Yarrowia lipolytica: one gene and its partners. The protein of the gene in region 2 interacts with the protein of the main gene of each other region in a pairwise test. Links are inferred from orthologs where the notes say so. Each region holds a gene or a part of one and is shown on either strand. Other genes may lie near its edges.

Region 1 (5,872 bases), on a different chromosome or scaffold from region 2:
GGTGCCATTCTTGAGCCAGGCGCAGGCCGAGAGAGTGGTGATGAGGGCAGGTATGGCGAGAAAACGTGCTGACTAATGTCTAAATCATCATATCGCATGCTAAGAACGCCATTCAGGTGCTCCAGCACTTGTACAATAGTTCCCTCTCTACTCTAGCTCCAGTCAACTAACTCTCGGGTATTAGTGAAGAGTTCCAAGTAAAGTACATGGGCACTTGTTTACCCCAAAATTGCCAAAGTAACTGAATAGAGACACTCGAACCGTCAAGTATACAACCTATGATGGAGCAGACGAGTGTTCTGACCAGTAGCAGTTTCACCCGGGGAGAGGGGGGGTTAGCAACAGCTGTCTGGAGGATACTGTACGTAGAGTGCAATGCGCTACAAAAGACAGACGTTCCGACTCTAACAAACGAAACACACACCCGATTCGAAATCGGAAGAGACCATCAAGTTTCAAACGGCCATTATAATCGGTATATCAACTTGAATCGTCCAAAACTGGCGGCAATGTGGGGCTGCGAGAGCCAGTTGTAAAGATATGTCTGTCAAGCTACAAGGACGAATACAACCGGGATCACCGGATCCACGAACCACGTGAATAAAGGCAGTAGTTTCTCAAATTGGACTTGTAGCAACAACCAATCCAGTCACTTCAGTCGCTGGCCCTTTATTGTATTGTACTGACTGTATCTACTCCAACATCATGTAGCCGACTACAGTATGATGAGAACCCCTCGGCAGAGATTACACTACTGTATGGACTGTAGAGGAGCCACGTAGATCCAAGTAGATCGAGCAATGGCTGAATAGTTGACAAGAATAATCCACAATCCAACAGCAATCGATATTTGTCCTCAGAACAACTGCAAGTGATCTTCCCGAAGTTATCCACCGTGCGACTTGGAGAAGATGACGGATGAAGCTGCTGATTCCAGAGCTCAGAAGTTGACCAAACACCTCAGAAGTTGACAAACACTCTCAAAGTTGACAAACCTCAAGAAGTTGACAAAACACCTCAGAAGTTGCTGCTCCCTTTTCCTCGTGCTCATACCAGAGCATCCTGGGTCCCGTAGCCATCATCCGTCGACCTGGAGCGTAACCATCAGTGCTCTTCATGGACCTTGCCCAAAGATGTTTCGCTAGATCAAAGGCCAATACCATGTCAGCACTCTTCAAAATGCTCCCTAATGGATATCTTCGAAGCCTGGTTGACGACTCTGAATCTAGACTGGAAGAGTCTTGAGTTCGGGACCCCGGTTCCCAACCAGTTCCCACGCCAGTCCGGTACCTTCGTGCCGCCGTCTAGTTGTACTACCACTTCCACAATGTCTATCATGAACTTTTCCACTGAGCCCCTACGCAGTCTCGTCTCCTATCTATCTAACACGCTCACCACGGTCAAACGGTCAAATCATCTTTTTCTCAAAAATCCTATTTTACATAACCACTGCTCCCTCATCTAATCACCCCTGCAACTCACCAATCTCCGAAGTGGTCGCATTGAGACCCATGACGTTAAGGAACAGGTTCAGATTGTTAATCTTCTGCTGCGACAGATCTGGCGGAAGAGCCTTGGCCTCGTTCATAGTACCAAAGATCTTGTCCCGCACATCGTCAACCATAACACGTTGGTGATCAATCTTCGCAGCCAAGGCGATGGACGCCAGGAACTGCCACACGTAAGAATCGTCCACATTTCGAGGAGGGAACAGGGAGTTGAGATTGTTGCGCTGAACAATGCCGAAAACACGGTTGAAAATGCGGTTCCAGGTCTCCTCATCTTCGGCAGAAACAGAGCCCTCCTGGTTGATCAGCTCGGCCCGGGAAATCAAAACAGTCACAAATGCAGATCCAACCTTGGTCTTGACAACAGCAGCAGTGTCATTTCGATCCATCATCAACTCCAGCAGACCCACAATGACGCCGTACTCGGCCTCAGAAATGTACTGCACCAGAGGAGGAAGGACGGTCTGAGAGAAGACCTCAATGGCCTCCCGCGACTTGGCGGGCAGGTTCGACTCCTCGCCGCTGTAGTGGCCATTCTTGACCACGTCCAAATCGCCAATGTGGGCCATGATCATGGTCAGAATGGTGAGCCGCTGCTCGGCAGAAATATGCCGGAAAACTCGGGGAATGGCCTTCTTGCACTTGGCATGCGAGAGCATGGCAATGAAGGGGTGCAGCGAGCCGTCGGCCTGGTCGATGGGCGCAGTAATCTGCAGCTCACGCCACAGCTGGGTCACCAGCGCGTCTTTTTCTCCCTTCCACACCTGGAACTCGTCGGACAGGTCGTCTTCGGGCTGGGTTCTCTCTGCAGCCTCCAGACGTAGCAGCACAATGTACACGTTCTCAATGGCCCGCAGAATACCTCGCTTGTCGTTAGCAGACACGTACGAGCCGCCCTGAAGGTTGAACTTGGAGATTGACGTGGTGATGGATCGAATGGCATCGGTGGTGGTGGTGGTGGTGGCCACGGGGGTAGCAGATCGAAGTTCGGGGGTGGCAGAAACTCCCTCAGTAGGAGCCTCAGTAGAGTTGTCGGCGTCGGGAGTATCATCTCGTTTTCGCAGGTCGAGAGCCTGTCGAGGACCCTTGTTGCTGCCAAGGTGAATCTTACCGAGAGCACCCTGGGAGATAATGGAGTCCTTCTTGGGGTGGTCCTTGACAAACTGCACGGCCTTGTGGACCTGCTGCTGCAGACGTTGCAGGCCGTTCTCGTTGCCGCGGGCCCGTCGGCCCCGCTGACCCCGCTGGTACAGGTACGTTCGCGCAAAGGCGTCGAGCGGCTGGTTGGGGTTGGATCGCACGTTGATGGCCGAGTGCACCTGGTAGTAAAAGTCCTCGTTGTAAGGGTCCTCGGTGACCATCTGCTGGAGCTGGACTCGCAGCACAAAGTCCTTGTCACCGCCGGTCATGAGATTGTTGTGTGGCTTTCGCTTGCTGATCATCTCATTTCGCTTGGCCAGTCGCGCGTTCTCATCCATGGGAGGGATCGTGTGGTTGGGCGATACGTGCACGGGGCCGGGCTGGTAGCCGTAGGGACCCGAGTGGGGAGGGCCCTGGAAGCCCTGAGGAGCGGTAGGGATGGCCTTGTCCTCCTTGGGGCCCAGGGGCGCGGTAGGAGGGGCAGCTTGCTGCTGAGAAGCAGGCTGAGAAGCGACAGCGGGGGGCTGACCCTGAGTCTGAGCCTGGGGCTGCTGCTGCTGCTGCTGCTGCTGCTGAACCTGAACCTGGGGCTGACCCTGAGATTGTCCCTGGAACTGAGGCTGCTGGAACTGTCCCTGTCCCTGCTGCTGCTGCTGCTGCTGCTGGTAGTGCATCATCATCTGCATGTTGAGATCATGGTTGGGCAGGGGAGGGAACTGCCAGGGCTGCTGGTACTGCATGGGGTGTCCCTGGGGAGGAGGGTAACCAGGAGGGAAGCCCTGGTAGCCGTACCCGGGAGGAAAGTGGCCCTGAGGAGGAGCGTGACCCTGGGGAGGCACACCGTGTTGCTGCTGCTGCTGCTGCTGGCCCTGGGCCTGGGCCTGTCGACCCATCAGCTGCGCCTCAATCTGCTCCAGAGACAGAGGCTGCTGACCGCCCTGCTGGGCAGCAACATGCTGGTAGTGCTGCTGCTGCTGCAGGTGAGCCTGCTGGGCCTGCTGGCCGCCGTGCTGGGCCTCGTCGCCCATGATTCGCTCCTTCTGGTCGGGAGCGCCCCACAGAGACGCCATGGGCTGCAGAGAAGGGGGAGCTTGTCGCTGCTGATGCTGCTGCTGCTGGTGCTGCATCTGGGCGTGCTGAGGCGCCCGGCGTTCGTAGGCAACCTGGTCCTCGTCAATGGCGTACGAGATTTTGGCCGTTTCGCCGTGGAAGTCGAAATCCCGGCCCACAGACGCCTCGCCGCCAAACGTCTCGTCGTTGAAGGCGTCGCCAGACTCATCCAGCTGTCCGCCAAGATTGTCGTCGTACGTGTCGTCGAATTCGTACTCCTGCACGTTGCCCTGATTGGGCTGTGCGATACCGAAGAAAGACATGTCGAAGAGAGAGTCGAGAGTCTTGGTGTCGGTGTAGTGTACTGAGATGTGTAGAGGTGACAAGAGGACACTACTACGGTGCGATTTTGGGTTAGGGTAGGAGGGGGGGTAGGAGGATGTGGAAAGAAGGGTGCCTTTGTTGGGCGATTGAGAAGAGATAGCGAGAGAGGAGAAATTGGAGGTTCGAGAGAGTGGCAAAAATACCCAATAAATTTCTTTAACGGCGCAAAAAATCCTTCGGTTACCTGTTTATACTGACTGGCTAGATTTCCATGGCGGATCTGTCATACAAAATAAACTCTCAAACTTTGAGTGGCTCTGGCAAATTTGGGAGACGACTTACCCGGACGAGTCCATGAGTGAGTGGTGTTTTTTGTATTACATAATGCAAGTTTGATTTAGTTGAAAGAACAATTGAGAAAAAACGTGTGCTGGGGGTGCTATTTCGGGGTTACAGGAACCTGAGCAACGCTGAAAGTGGATTAAATGATAGGAAATGGCTCATTTTTTAACAAATGTGTAATAATATTGACAGTATGGGGTACAGAAAGACGTTTTTTGGTTAATATGTGGACAGATGGAGTTGACATTTACTTAGCTTCTAGAGTGAGTCCAGAAGAAGTAACCGACAGAATCGACAGAATCGACAAAAACATGTCGGAAGATGTTCAATATGGAATAACTAGCCTAGAGAGTGCTAGAGAGGAACTTTCTCATGTCGCATCTGTTACAACTGGTGAATAAGACATCGCAGATTGTCAGAGATGTGGACAGGAGGAACATTCGACATCTGAAGCACCTTTGGGCGACATCTGAAGCACCTTTTGGCGACATCTGAGCACCTTTGGCAACATCTTCAACATGTTGAGTAATATATCTGTTGCAGCTCCATCTGTCCCTCCACACAACAATGCCATGACTAAGAAGAGACTCTCAGGACTTGATTACTCATTGTTATAGCATCCGTCAATGGAATTAATCAGCCAATACAAAATCAATACTATCAACTCCTCCTTCCAGACACTTGCGCCATCTAAAGCCTCCAACAACCTCATGACTGGTTCTATCTCCACCACCAACCAACCACAACACCAAAACTTGACCAAATCAAGCAAACAGTTGACCAAAACAATCTCCTCAACACCAGCTACCAGTCCCTCGACATACTCCCGCCTTCCAACGACCAAAACGGCAGATATATTGTATTATTAGGCTCCTAGATGACGACCACATCTTATTCAACTAACAATGTCTCATATACAACCAGACGTTGTCGGAGATACGGGATAGTATCGATAGATCCATTTTTCTGCTCGGAAACCCCGAAAACGCTCGGTGGAGTCGCCGCGCAACTCTTCACTGTTGCAATACGTACAACATAAATTAGCTATTTAGTGTCATCAACAAGTAAGTAACCAGGACACACCTATTGACAGCAGGAGTTATCAATGTCAGCAGACAACACGAGTGTCACAATCCATTAACGTCCGCCACCAACAGGTGTGCTTGGAAAAGAAAAAATCTGTCACGCAAACCTTGGTCATGGCTCAGCTTAACTTCTCTTCTTCACCTTGACCTTCTCCTGGTCGAGATGGTGCTTGGGAATCCAGCTCTCATCGTAGCCCTTGGGTCCAGTCTTGACGCCGGAGCCAGCAGGAACCACAGGCTTGGCTCGAACGGGCTTCTTCTCCTGTCCGTAGGTGCCGGTAGCGTATGGGATGGCGTACACGTTAACAACGTAGTATCCCAGAGCAGCGGCGGTGATTCCCAGCACAATCTGGGCAAACAGGAACTTGAAAGACAGAGGAGAAACATAGGGGTCGACAATCGACACGGGGCCGTCAAAGGCGT
Region 2 (4,198 bases):
AGAAAGGTGACCTCGCCCAGACCGGAAGAGAAAGAAGCCAGCACCACTCCCACGAGTTTGAGAAACAGAGGAGATGCTAGTGACACAGACATCATTCCCACAGTTGACAGGCCAACCAGCAATGTTATTCGGCGGTTATAGGGGATTTTGTGGATAAAAAATGGTGCTGCCAGCTTTATCAAGAACGATGGGAGTACGTCGGCCAGTAACACCACGGCCTTGGGTGTTTGAGGTCCCACCAGGTCTACTGCGGCGGTCAAGATAACCACATAGAGCACGTTGTTGACCAACCCAAATGTCCAAAATGCGGCGTACACAAGATGAGCAGGTTCTAGTTGCATTATGGTTGCTGAAATGTTCAATTCCTTGACATGAGTGTGTCAGTGACTTTTCGAGTATGGCCGTCGCTGGGTGGCTGGAGAAGTGTGACTGGTTGTTTATCAGTGAGTGTCGCTGTTCTGTGAAGCCAATTATCCCAACACGCATGGGACAGGCAAGTCTAATATGTGGAAGTGTGTGGTGTGTGGAGGGCGTGAATATGTGCATACAATAGCTCGATACATTACTAATCGAAATCGATATATTAACCCTTTATCCATTCGATAAGCACCATTATTGTACATTCTAATGGTAAACACGCCCCCGTTTCTACTGACTACAAGTAGTAAGACTACAAGTAGGGGTGGCGTTGGGTCGTGTGAGTGAACCCAGAGCATGGCGTAGTCAGCCCTATCACATACAGTACACTACAGCACGTAGCTACTTGAAACCATTGCAGTTTATAGATTATAACTAGAAATTCAGTACATGTACGAAGAGTATGTCGGGTCATTACACTGTTCAATACCTGCTCCGAGCCGAACATATCATTAACTTATCCCAGTACATACTGTACACCTCTGATGGCGCCCCATTACAATTGCTAAGAAAAACGACAGCAGCATCTCACTTCCACCACAACATAATATACACTCTATTACTATCCAATTAAATAGTGACCTCGGGCTTGGGCTCCACCTCAACTCCCTCTCCTCCGTCAAGAGGGTAGATAGAAAGCAGGTTAGGGCCTCGAATGACCGCCAGACCGATCTCTCGCACCTTGCCTTCCTTTTGACCCTCAAACTCGGCAAAGTCCTCGCTCTCCTCGTCCTCGTAAATGGTCTCCTTGACGTCGTCGAGAATCAAGTTCATGAGCTGATCCCAGCCCTTTAAGGTGCCCTCGATCTTTCGGCCAGTGACCTTGACAACCACTCGCTTGTTCTCGAATCGAGACAGATCTAGAATGGGCTCTCGCTTGGGGAATTCCAGCTTCTTGGACTGGCCCTGGTTCTGACCTTGGCCCTGGCCCTGGTTCTGGTTGTTCTGCTGCTGCTGATTCTGTTGGTGTTGCTGATTTTGGTGCTGGTTGTGTCCTCCATAATGGCCAGCGTTGCCATGGCCGCCTCGGCCGCCTCGTCGCTGTTGTTAGTACGTGTGAATGGATGGCTGAGCCTTCGATCCGCTATACTCACTCCTCCACGGTTGTCGTGTCGGTCCATTATTGATGATGATGAAGAGTTGTCAACCTGTGCGTTAGGTTATGAGAGAGAGCTAGTCCCAGGAAGTTTAATTTGGGGGTGTGGAAGGTGAAGTGTTGATAATACGACAGTTGGTAAGCTGAATATATACGAGTCTGGTCTCATTTGGAAGCTACTCGTCCCCTTAATACATCAACATAGATATCTTATATAGATGTTATGACTTTCGAAAGATTACCCTCTAAAATTCTCAACTTCACACCAACAACCCCGTTGGTGACCCGCCAGAATACTCCTAATATCAGCCCTCATTCCGAGTTGAAAGATATTCTGTCTCTCCATGATATGGGTCTTCTTTTTCGTTCATCTTGGAGTCCATTTTTTCGTTTTCAATCTGAGACTTAGGTTATGAGTACATACCCCAGGGGCGCAACTTTATTCCCGCTTGTTCTACAATATTAAGCTATTGTACCCATTATTAGTCAAACATTAGGCGACCAAGTGGATTGATTTCTGTTCAAGAAACAAAGACCGAACAAAATGTGACATCCGTATTCCATTTATTGATTAGTTTTGTTTACATGAGCTTAGTGTTTCAGGCAATTTCACAAACAAAATCTGTTAACGGAAAAAATACTATAATTAAAGTTATTTGAGAAATGAAGACATCCTGAACAATATGGTTGGCATAATTGTTTAGTTGGTGAGAAGACCCTGGAGTCGAGAGTTAAGACCAACAAGCATAGAAGCATCCTGTCGGAAACCGGGGATAATGTCTGCGAGCAGGTTACCGGCCTGGTTGATAGTAGCGATGAGGCCCTTGATGTCATCGGCAAAGGTGTTGACCAACTTGTTCTGAGAGATGACAGTAGAAAGAGTGATCAGGAAGAGACCAAGGTTGGTAATGAAGGCATTCAGGCCAGTGGAGATGAACATGTTGACGAGAACCTTGGTCCAGCCAGCAAGTCCATTGTAGTTCTGCAGCCACTGGATGAGCTGGTTGAGAGCTCCCTTAGCCTGGAGGATGGCCTGGGTGATAGCAGCGTTGGCCTGCTGGGGGGAAACGTTCTTGAGAGCCTGGATGGAGTTCAGGAAGAGAGATACACCAGCGTTGGTGAAGCTCTGGAAGACGTTGAAGAGAGAAATCCAGTCCTGAGCAGCTCGGGCGTCGAGGGCAACAGCATCGTCAACGAATCGCTTGGCGATCTCGCTGTTTCCGCCGAAGTGAGCCTCGACAACCTGTCGCATCTGGATGAGGCCAGCCTCCTCAGGAGCGGGGGCAGCGAGGGCAAGAGTAGCCATGGAGGCAACGGCGAGCTTGGTGAAAGAGACCATTGGTAATGTGTTGATTGGAGTGAATAGAAGAGAGAAGAGAAGAAAGGGTAGTTGTTTTCTGGATATTCGAGAGGAGGATTTCGGTGGTTTATATAGAGTCCTGGAAACAGGGTATCCATTCAATGCCATTGTATCCCACAGCACCTTGTATGACAAGGTATGGCTGAGTTAGAGTCCCGCTACTGCAGAGACACGGAATTTGTGCGTCAGACCCATAGGCAACAAAGAGCTCGTTTAGGTGACTACAGGTCTATGGTTTGAGTCTACTTACCTCGGTAGGCAGTGTAAAGCCGGTTTTGGAAGGTGTCTATCCGACTCGGCGGACTTGGATGCTCACCCAAGACAGATGTGTTGCATTGTTGAGCTTTGCTTCCAGGTACCTACATTGTACATACGAAGAATGGGTGTTTCATAAGAATCGCACACTACAAGTAGCCAACGTTGTTGATCACCGCGTTGGTTGACGTGGTTAGGGCGGTCAGTGCTAAAGCTATACCTTGAGCTTCTCAGTCCCATGGTTAGGTATCCAAATACCAACTTCAACACACCCCTGCAATGTCACTTTGACTTTTTGGTGGATACTTACAGAGAACTATGAAGATTCAGGGAGCTGAGTGGCCTGAGATGGATCGTAGGGACCTTCCAATGTGCCTGGCTGCTCTCTTAGAGACATTTCTGTCATTTTTTACATATACGCCACAATTATAATAGGAGAGCAACGTAAGTATGTCTGTATAATAGTTATAGCGTGTAGGCGATTTCTGTCTCAACATCAAGACGCCATGTTTGTCTGTTCCGACCACTCTTAAGCTACGGTACTACTTTGCTTGTCGAAAGGTGTAACGAGCTGTACGTTCAGACTAACGAAAGACTGCACGGAAGTTCTACTACAAAATATAGCGAAAACTAGTAGTAGCATTGCTCAAGAGATGTGCACCTGTAAGTTGACAGAACGCACCCGCCGGATTGATGACCCCATGATCTTTGTAACCCTACTGATTCGGGCCACACCTTAGCACTAAAGGTGGATCTCCATGTACGATTAAACCTAACTGCTATGTGCGCCTGATCAATGCAACTGTGTCCGATGGATTTGTGTTGCTGACGTGAAAGTCGCATCCACGAAACTAATGCCGAAACGGTCTCGTTTTGCCGCATTGTCTGTAAATAAACCGCAACGGATACTTACTTGCAACCACGGGGGCAGATATGGTGTCCCATCTTGTTTGCAGCCCACAGTAGTATGCAAGTCGAGACTTTGGCTGCAGCGACTCCTGAACCTTGTCCCAACGCCATCAATCAAACAATATCGAACAAACAACCACATAACAAGCGCTTCTGTAAGC
Region 3 (5,025 bases), about 1.0 Mb from region 2:
GCCAACAAAGGTGTCTGCGATGGAGTTGATGAGCTCGCCAGACACTCCAAAGTCGCACAGCTTGATCTGGCCATGGGAGTTGACGAGAATGTTGGACGGCTTGACGTCTCTGTGGACGATGCGGTGCTCGTTGTATAGATACGTTAGGCCCTCGACGACGGCCACGGTGATATGGCCGACAATCTCTTCGGTCAGCGGGCCGGCCTTCTTGTAGATGCGGTCCAGTGAGCCGCAGTCCATAAACTCCATGCACATGACCACGTCGCCGGACGACTCGTTGATGAAGGCGCCGTAGAAGGAGACAATGTAGGGCGAGTCGCACTCGTGCATAATGTGCAGCTCCCGCAAAATCTGGCGTCGCACGGCCTCCTTTGCCTCGATATGGATCACCTTCTTGGCCATGACGGCACCAGTGGGGATGTGTTCCACCCGGGAGACGGACCCGCCGTTGCCTGCGCCCAGCTCCTGTATGGTGCGCAGATCCTGAGCCCGGATGTCGATTTTGAACTCCACGCCCAGCTCCAGCGATGCCATTTGGCTTATCAGGTTGCCTGCTGAGGGCGCTCTCTGGAGCGTGGGTTTGTCGAGGGTGAAGGGCTGTGATGGCGGAGGGGAAGCTGTTGCCTGGGGCGCCACTCCGGCGTCGGCGTTGAGTGACAGCTTCTTGAAGTTTTTGCGCTTCAGCGTCTTGGGTTTGAGGTCGACAGACATGTTCACACGATGGACAATGTACCGTTTTTATCGGTCTATTGTCTGGCAGGTTGAAGGTTGTGGTTTTACCGTACGTTGGGAGAGACGCTACGCGTTGGCGATGCGCTTGGTGCAGACCTTGGCCGAATGGGGAAGTGGTTGTGGATGGATGGGGTGTGGGTGCAAAAGGCTACAAGTAGGGGGGTTGGGGCATGTGGCTTGATATATATATATCGGAGTTAATTATTTTGTGCAAGTTGCCAGGTGGCCGGGACAAATGGGGCAACGACGATCTCTGAACACAAGAGTCCACACACATCTGTATCGTTCCGGCACCAGTAGCTACTCTGCCATCGCTCAGCTCATGCCACTACGATACTTATACTTGGAGCTAACCTTGATTGAAAATGGGAGGGCAATTTCCGAGGTAATACCACCCACGTACAGTATGTACTCTTGACGCCGTGACCTTGGCCCACATTCGAGCTGCACTGCACTGCCTGAACCGGACGAGAGAGTCCAAATGGGCCGTCGTTATGGTTGGGTATGAGACTTGGAACACTGGAAGCAGTGTTTCGATGTGTTTGGTGGGAGGTATCAGCGTTCTGTTGTCGATGTGGATCAGTGATACTAAAGTAATCACACTTGTACTTTTAGCTTAGATGGGTGACAAAATGGTGATTTCTAGCGCGTACAAGTATCGCGATGTACTTCTCTCTGCTAGCTGATGAAGAGACAGCATCTGTGACCACTGTACCGACAGTATCTGCGACTACAAGTATCTGTTCAGCACACATGCTCGTACCGTACAAGTACACCTTTCTATACCTTCGATGAGGTTCGCGTGGATAATTTAATGGAAGTATATCTGTTTTGCTGAAGGGGGAAATGGGCTGCGTGTGTGGGAGCAATATTACATACATCTGACTGTTCAGACGTTGGACGAGACAGTCATAATATGTGCCCCATTACAGGTTGAGGTGAAGCGCGTGTATGGGGGAAAACCAGCGGATGATCGTCCCATCTTCGTCATTTCACTCGTTTACACTACAAGTGATATCTTCACTCATTCTCTGCTCTGCTCCTCTCCAAGCCACCGTCGTGCCCAGACAAAGTTCGTCAACCGGGTAAGTGGCGAGCTGTAATAGGTGTGCAGGTGAGGATAGAGACAGAAAAGGGTTACGACAGCAAAAAAACAGAGGGAGCCAGCAAAATGACAAACGTGGAAAAGAGAGATAACAAAAAAAGGACCTCTTTATATAACTACGTAGCAAACCAACACCACATTCTCCATGTCAAGGTGGCCTGGAGTCCTCCTCCCCACGGTCACGGACACTCCAACTTACCCTTCCCAATGAATCCACACCCCAGTAAAGTTTTCAATACACCCACAACCAGCCGACAATCTCTTCTTTCTCCCCTACCTCCAATACAGCCAACTGTTTTATTGCCATCCATCACAGAACACCAGAACACAAACATATCTGGAGTTTTCTAATCGACAATTGACACCTACACTGTTCCATCGCAGGTCCCTACTTCTGAGTTTCCGGATATCCATACTTCCCGTTTGCCCACGACACGCACCACGACACCGCACCACCCCACATTTTACACAAAAACATGTCTGAGTGGAAAGAGTCGTTAAACGTGCCCAAAAAGGACACGCGTCACAAAACCGAAGATGTGACCGCCACAAAGGGTACAGGGTTCGAGGACTTTTTCCTCAAACGAGAGCTGCTCATGGGCATCTTTGAAGCAGGATTCGAAAACCCCTCGCCCATTCAGGAAGAGGCGATCCCCATTGCCCTCGCAGGCCGAGATATTCTGGCCCGAGCCAAGAACGGAACCGGCAAGACCGCCGCGTTTGTGATCCCAGCCCTCCAGCAGGTCAACCCCAAAGTTAACAAGATCCAGGCGCTTATCATGGTGCCCACCCGAGAGCTGGCACTCCAGACCTCACAGGTTTGCAAGACCCTAGGCAAGCATCTTGGCATCAAGGTCATGGTCACCACCGGTGGCACCAACCTCAGAGACGACATTATGCGTCTGGAAGACACGGTACACGTGTTGGTCGGCACTCCCGGCCGAGTGCTGGATCTAGCAGGAAAGGGCGTCGCTGATCTCAGCGAGTCGCCCATGTTTATTATGGACGAGGCCGACAAGTTGCTGTCGCCGGACTTCACACCCATCATCGAGCAGGTGCTCCATTTCTTCCCTGAGGACCGTCAGATCCTGCTCTTCTCCGCCACCTTCCCTCTGACTGTCAAGGCCTTTATGGACCGAAACCTGCACAAGCCTTACGAAATCAACCTGATGGACGAGCTGACCCTAAGAGGTATCACGCAGTACTACGCCTTTGTCGACGAGAAACAGAAGCTGCATTGTCTCAACACGCTCTTTTCTAAGCTCGACATCAACCAGTCCATCATTTTCTGCAACTCCACTGTGCGAGTTGAGCTACTTGCCCGAAAGATCACTGAGCTGGGATACTCATGTTACTACTCCCACGCCAAGATGATCCAGAGCCATCGAAACCGAGTCTTCCATGAGTTCCGAAACGGCACGTGCCGAAACCTCGTCTGTTCCGATTTGCTTACCCGAGGTATCGATATCCAGGCCGTCAACGTGGTCATCAACTTTGACTTCCCTAAGAACGCCGAGACCTATCTCCATCGAATTGGTCGATCTGGACGATTTGGCCATCTCGGTATTGCCATCAACCTCATTAACTGGAACGACCGATACAACCTGTACAAGATTGAGCAGGAACTTGGAACTGAGATCAAGCCCATCCCTGCCCAGATCGACAAGAACCTCTACGTTGCCGAGTCCAGCGAGAACATCCCCCGACCCTTCCCCATTGCTGATATGCCTCGAGGCAAGGAGAGTAAGCGAAACGAGCAATTCCAGCCCCAGCAGAACCAGAACCAGCAGCAGCAACAGGACGGTCAAAACCAGCACTCTCTGGGTCCCGTACCTCCCCAGGGTCCTCCTCAGGGCATTCCCGGCCCCGGATACGGCTACCCTCCTCCTCAGGGCTTCCCTCAGGGAATGCCTCCTCAGGGAATGCCTCCTCAGGGAGCCGGCGGCTACATGCCCCCTACTCCCTATGGTTACCAGCAGCAGGGCTTCCCTCCTCAGCCGCCACAGGGCTTCAACAATGGCCAGCCCCAGCAGCCGTCGCAGTAAGAACGCGAGCCTGAAAAAAGCGATTACAATCTTCCTTTGGTTTTTTGTGTACGGTTTTTGTGGGTTATCTTTCCCACTTTCCGCCATATTTTTCCAACCCTTTTTTTTTGACCTTTTTTTCGTCTCTGGGGTATATAGCAATATGATATTCTAGTTGGTGACTGATGAAACGTTGTACTGTAGCTACAAGTGTGGTTCAGTCGAATGCCGTGGGTACCCGAACATGTATAAGTAAGATCATGGCTCTGGTACGGCTACTGTAAAAGTCTATCTCCAGAAATGCATGAAATGTATCCTGGGCCACTGCGAGAAGCATGGGACCCGAGTAGACCGTGTGCGCGAGATCTATTGCAGGTGCAGCCAATACGTGAGTCACGGTCGCTCTGTAGAGTGTAGATTGGTTTTGTATCTTTGGTGTAAGCCGCTTACCAGGATGCTACAAGTAGGGTAGTCTTGTGTCAGATCAAAATGTGTGGCTGCTCTGTGCCAAAAATTTGACTACTAAGCTTTTGGGATTGGGTATGACTTATTGGCCATCATTCGTGAGTGAAGCATTTTTACTGTCTGGGGACACTGCAGAGCTATGCAGAATTAGTAGTGGAGAATGCCTACTGGTGCTGTTGCGGGCATTAGGGGGGATGAGGTACGATGTAGGGATAGGTCCGGGCAGGGACTTGCATTAATTGGTCTACAATGTAGGGCGTCGAATCTGGGTAAAAACACACCGAGTATGTGTACGTACATGCCCATGGCCATTGGTGCCTATGGACCCGAGTTACTGACAACGGGTGTCTGTTGCAAAGTGTGAAGCTTAAAAAATATTTTTAATTCGAAAATGGTATCGACGTGCTAAAAGCTCTTTCTACTAACGTCCAGTGTTCACCACCCCACCCACAACACCCCCCCACATCACCCACACACAATCATGAGCCTTCGAATTCTGCTGGTTGGCAACGGTGGCCGAGAGCACGCCCTTGCATGGAAGCTGGCTCAGTCTCCTCTGGTGGAGCGAATCTTTGTTGCCCCCGGAAACGGAGGAACCGACAACCCCCAGGGAAAGATCGAGAACATTGCGATTGGCTCTTCCCAGAAGGACTTCGCCAAGCTCGTCGAGTTTGCCCAGTCCAAGGATGTTGGTCTCGT
Region 4 (4,673 bases), on a different chromosome or scaffold from region 2:
CCAAATTGGACGTGGAGACCTCAATGGCCTCGTCGTATCATCGTCGATCGGCCATTCCTGGAACCGCCAATGACCCTACGGACAATTCTTCTCAGCCTTCTAAGCGGTACAAGCTGGACCCTATCAGCGCAGACCACTTTGCTCCTCCACACGATTATGCACATGGTCGATGGACAGGTTTGACACAGGGGCTTCTGGAGCAATACAACTCGCTTGTTGGCCGAGAACGGCAACTAGTGTCGGAAATCGAGTCGCACAGGAAGCTCGCAACTACGCAGCAGCTCAAAATGGAGTCTCAACAGGACGAGATTGCGCGTCAGGTGCGTCAACACGCGTCCTTCGAGGAGACTATTGGCAAGCTGGAGCGAAAGATCGAACGAGGAGAATCAGATGCGGTTCGAAAAGAGGAGGCAGTTGTTCGATTGCAGGATGAGGTTGCTTCTCTGAAGGCTATTTTGGCTTCTGGAGAGGACGCAGACATCAAAACCAAACAGCAGGAGGAGATTCAGGCGCTGAAGACGAGCCTGCAAAAGGCCAATGCTACTGCTGATGCTCGGTCCAATGAGAATGACTACATGCGTTCCGAATACCAAAAGGCATCCGAGAGCGCGTCCGAGGCGTTGGCGAAGGTGGGATTGCTTACAACCGAGCTGGCTGAGGCCAACCAGCGTGCCGATGGTGAGTTTTCTGCCCTCAGAAAGCTCACATTCGACGAAGAGCGAGAAATTCGGGATTCGGAGATTGCAGAGCTCAAGGTTAAGGTGGAGAACTTGGAGGAGCAGCTCAAGAGACAGAGCGAGGCAGCTCCCAAGACATCACGTGCGAGGTACGGTGTGAGATCGAGCTCGGTTCCTAGACGAGCTCTTTCTCCTGCCGATGGACCTAATACGCAGTCAGAGTAGACGGATGACGAATGATGAAATATATTATGTATTATAGGAGGTTTAATTAATTACTGACGGATTGAGTGGTTCTATTTTTACTTACAAGTACTTGTAGTTTGAATGCAATATATTACCGATACGGTATGTGTTCCTACCCCTTCAACGCCTACTCCTTGCACCACAACTTCACTGTTCGATCCCAGCCACAGGTGGCGAAGTACTCGTTTCCAGGTCCCAAATCCATGCCCATGATTCGGTCTTGCGTCTTCCACCTTTTAGCCAGGGTCCACGAATCGGCATTCCAGATGTTAAAGTCGCCATCGTATCCCGTAGATGCGAGAAATGAGCCCGACTTGTCAAACTGAACACTCGACACAATCTTTGTATGTGCAGGGATTGTGTGGGAACATTTTTGAGCACGCAGATCCCATATTCTGACAGATCCGTCAGCAGATCCAGATGCAAGATAGAACCCGTTACCAGACCATCCCAGACTGTATATCTCTCGGATATGGCCTTCCAGAGTCTGAATACTTCGTCCAGATCGCATATCCCACACTCTGCCTACTGCATCCAAGCCAGCAGAGGCTACTAGAGCTCCATCCGGGTGGAAGGCCACAGAGTGGACACCCTTAGAGTGTCCTTCTTGAGACAACAGCTTGGTACCGCTCTCAATGTCCCACAGAGCCCAGGTGTAGTCATAGGACGCGGTAGCAGCCCACTGCCCGCTTGGATGAACGTCTAGACCTGCGATACGGCCCTTGTGGGCTTCAGACACCGTTCTGTATGCAGTATGTTCGTTGCCTTCTGTGCTGGAATCCCAGAACAGCAGCTTTCCCTCTCCACATCCACTCAGCAAGATATTACGTGCCCATTTCAAAGCACTTACTTTATCCACGTGCCCTCTCAACACAGCCTTGGTATTCAGATTCGGTACATCCATTAGCTTGATCTCGCCGTTCCACGATGATGCAGCCAGTATAGAGTCGCTTCCAAAAGCCACGGCCCCTGCTGGACGTGTGGAAACGAACTGTGATCCCAGAAGCTGATACTGCTCTATAGGGGCCATCTTATCTCGTCGTAGGTTAACTGTCTCCACCAGGGACAATTCCGACTGTTGCTTTTGTGTCGTGAGTCGGTCCCTTGCTCTCAAGATACTGTCGTTTGTTATCTGCCTCCTTGCATCAAGCAACTCTTCACTTCCTGGCGTAAAAAACTCGTCGTCGTCCATAGAAACGTCAGAATCGCTCTCTTCGTCCTGCAGACCTTCCCGATCAAACTCGTCCACCATTAGCTGACCCAGACGGGTCCGTCGATCAGCTTTGTCTTCTGCGAAAAGAGTAATGGGCTCATTCAACGATCGTAGTTTCGCTCTAACATCCTTATCGTCTGTAGGAACATGCAGTTTTTTGAGAATATCAGCTCGACGTTGTTTTTCCAACAGCTGACGGGCCGCAACGGCCTCTTCCCGAACTGAAGAAGAGTCCACCGTCGTCTTGATCGACTCCAGATCCACAAGTTCCATGTTGGTGATGAAGACAATTAGGTTGGGAGGTGCAGAATTGATACATTTGATTACTAAAGCGATATGGAGTGCTAAAGCAGGATTATGCAATGAGTGAAAGGCCCGAATAAACTATTGTAAGGTCAGGGTTGTTCAGATTTGCAGCTAGAGAGCAAGAAATATCGGCCACTTATTAACCACAGGTTATGAGTTTCTTGCAGCTCCTGCCTGTTCGATCCCCATAACTGTGGATATTATTCACTACTTGTAGCTCTGTTTAGATAATAGCTGATGAAGATGGTGGCGATATTTACAGAAAAATCGACTTTGGAAAAAACAACAACACGCAGGCGACTCCACATGCTGCTTCGATATACTGACCTCCGCCTACCTTCCCTTCACATGAATGATAAAAAACTCGTTCGGAGTTTAGCTCTAAAAGCGAAAGTGCGGAGAATGTGGGAACAGGATACAACTATAGAATGATAAAGTGATAGAAAAAGAGCTACTGAAACGAATAATGCGGGCATAGAAATAGCTTCAGAGCCTCACGTAACTTGTGTTTAGTTTGGCCTCTCCTAATACCTCAATCATCGCTCGCTATTAGCTCTCAGATGCCAATAATAATAAGACGCAGTAGATCGCCTAAGCAAGTTTAAACGGAATGTGTTGAGGCTATTTCAGTGTGGAGGAGTTATAAAGTGCAAAGAAGGGGGAGGAAGGATGTTTGAGTTGCCGGAAGGCATTCAATATATAGGAAATTCTGTTAAGAAAGAATCTCTTCCAAGCCCCAACCGTTGGCGCCCATCAATGGTGTGTTTAATAAACCCCGCTGACAACCGCATCCATGCATTCCCCGGAGTTAATATCTCACCTCCTGATATCTAGATGCAGCTTCGAAAGCTAAAGTGGCTACATTCACTACAGACCACAGGCAGTAAGCATCCGACACACAAGTGCACCTGTCTATAACCCCCACAATTTCTTCTCTTGTTGCACACCAACACCAACACCACAGAAACACAACAATGGCGATCCCCCACTTGGAGTGTCTGCAGAAATGCGTCCACGAGCTCCATGCCCTGTTGCATCAGCACTACCACGAGTTCCAGGCTTCTCCGGTCGCTTACCTTCATTCGAAGCACGACTGCGTGAGGGCTGAGGTAATTGAGCATTTCCAGAATGCCACTACCTATGAAAAGTGAGAATAAGCGAAGGATGAGACTGTTTGAGTACTACTAACCCAGATTTCGAGATGCGGTATTTATTGTGTGAGTATACACGGTCCCATTGAGAATCAAAACGACACAAGTAAAAGGCGATCTTACAGAGATACCATTGACGCCATGACACTCACGACGTTTTACCCATGAGATCTTGGAGCAATTATTCACAGAGGCTTCTCTTGGCCGTACATCCGACCGTCCGACCGGGAGCACACGGACATGATATCAGTCATCATATGTTAGCTACGACATACAATTAACAGCTACTCGCTGTTCATGTGATTTGATCTGGAAACGATGAGCTAGAGCAACCCAGCCATGTATATACTAACTCAGCGTCATTCTCACAGCCCTTGGCAACTTCCTTTCTTTTATTCACACCATCTTTGCTGATGGACTTCAAAACACATTCCGTTTCCATGCCAGAAAAGTGACCAAAAAGATTCTCGACATTCCCTTCATCAAGGCTAAGATTGACAAGGAGACAGGGGTTGTGATTGAGAAGATCCAGAACGACATTATCGTCCGAATGCCCGGCACCCAAATCTTTGGGACTCTCCCTGCTGAAGGTATGACCAACACAGAGGTCATCACTGAGATGTCTAAGTACCACGATATGAAGCGAACCTTCTGGGAAAAGGGTCGTGTAAGTGGAGCTGTCTACCACGGAGGTAAGGAGCTCACAGACCTGCAATCCGAGGCATTCTCCCAGTTCACAGTGGCGAACCAGCTTCATCCCGATGTCTTCCCGGGTGTCCGAAAGATGGAGTCTGAGGTTGTTGCTATGGTTCTGGCTCTTTTCCATGGCCCTGAGGGCTCTTGCGGAACCTCTACATCTGGAGGTACCGAGTCTCTCCTGCTGACTTCTCTGGCCGCCAAGATGAAGGCCTACAACGAGCGAGGCGTCACACATCCCGAGATTATTGCTCCTATCACTGTGCATGCCGGCTTTGACAAGGCTGCCTACTACTTTGGAATGAAGCTGCGACATGCCCCCGTCGATCCGAAGACTATGAAGGTTGATCTGAAGGCTGTGCGACGAATGGTTACCAGAAACAC

The links.
Region 1: the proteins of YALI1_F37998g (region 2) and YALI1_E23348g interact in binary tests that used the Saccharomyces cerevisiae proteins (3 or more experiments, as listed by UniProt). The link is inferred for Yarrowia lipolytica from reciprocal best matches to the Saccharomyces cerevisiae genes LSM7 and PAT1.
Region 3: the proteins of YALI1_F37998g (region 2) and YALI1_F27929g interact in binary tests that used the Saccharomyces cerevisiae proteins (3 or more experiments, as listed by UniProt). The link is inferred for Yarrowia lipolytica from reciprocal best matches to the Saccharomyces cerevisiae genes LSM7 and DHH1.
Region 4: the proteins of YALI1_F37998g (region 2) and YALI1_E33268g interact in binary tests that used the Saccharomyces cerevisiae proteins (3 or more experiments, as listed by UniProt). The link is inferred for Yarrowia lipolytica from reciprocal best matches to the Saccharomyces cerevisiae genes LSM7 and PRP4.

What each region holds. Positions count from the first base shown.
Region 1 is NC_090774.1:2,332,980-2,338,851, reverse strand, and holds YALI1_E23348g (uncharacterized protein), read right to left. Parts: upstream 4,022-5,872; coding exon 1,466-4,021; downstream 1-1,465. Other genes in the region: YALI1_E23325g (uncharacterized protein), read right to left, coding at 5,574-5,872. UniProt on the Saccharomyces cerevisiae protein: Activator of decapping that functions as a general and active mechanism of translational repression and required for P-body formation. First decay factor recruited to mRNA, at a time when the mRNA is still associated with translation factors.
Region 2 is NC_090775.1:3,798,349-3,802,546, forward strand, and holds YALI1_F37998g (uncharacterized protein), read right to left. Parts: upstream 1,539-4,198; coding exon 1,512-1,538; intron 1,459-1,511; coding exon 988-1,458; downstream 1-987. Other genes in the region: YALI1_F37986g (uncharacterized protein), read right to left, coding at 1-341; YALI1_F38013g (uncharacterized protein), read right to left, coding at 2,214-2,981. UniProt on the Saccharomyces cerevisiae protein: Component of LSm protein complexes, which are involved in RNA processing and may function in a chaperone-like manner. Component of the cytoplasmic LSM1-LSM7 complex which is involved in mRNA degradation by activating the decapping step.
Region 3 is NC_090775.1:2,790,219-2,795,243, reverse strand, and holds YALI1_F27929g (uncharacterized protein), read left to right. Parts: upstream 1-2,313; coding exon 2,314-3,882; downstream 3,883-5,025. Other genes in the region: YALI1_F27945g (uncharacterized protein), read right to left, coding at 1-711; YALI1_F27904g (uncharacterized protein), read left to right, coding at 4,808-5,025. UniProt on the Saccharomyces cerevisiae protein: ATP-dependent RNA helicase involved in mRNA turnover, and more specifically in mRNA decapping by activating the decapping enzyme DCP1.
Region 4 is NC_090774.1:3,324,381-3,329,053, forward strand, and holds YALI1_E33268g (uncharacterized protein), read right to left. Parts: upstream 2,410-4,673; coding exon 1,051-2,409; downstream 1-1,050. Other genes in the region: YALI1_E33234g (uncharacterized protein), read left to right, coding at 1-902; YALI1_E33278g (uncharacterized protein), read left to right, coding at 3,417-3,589, 3,636-3,663; YALI1_E33285g (uncharacterized protein), read left to right, coding at 4,144-4,673. UniProt on the Saccharomyces cerevisiae protein: Involved in RNA splicing. Is required for the association of U4/U6 snRNP with U5 snRNP in an early step of spliceosome assembly.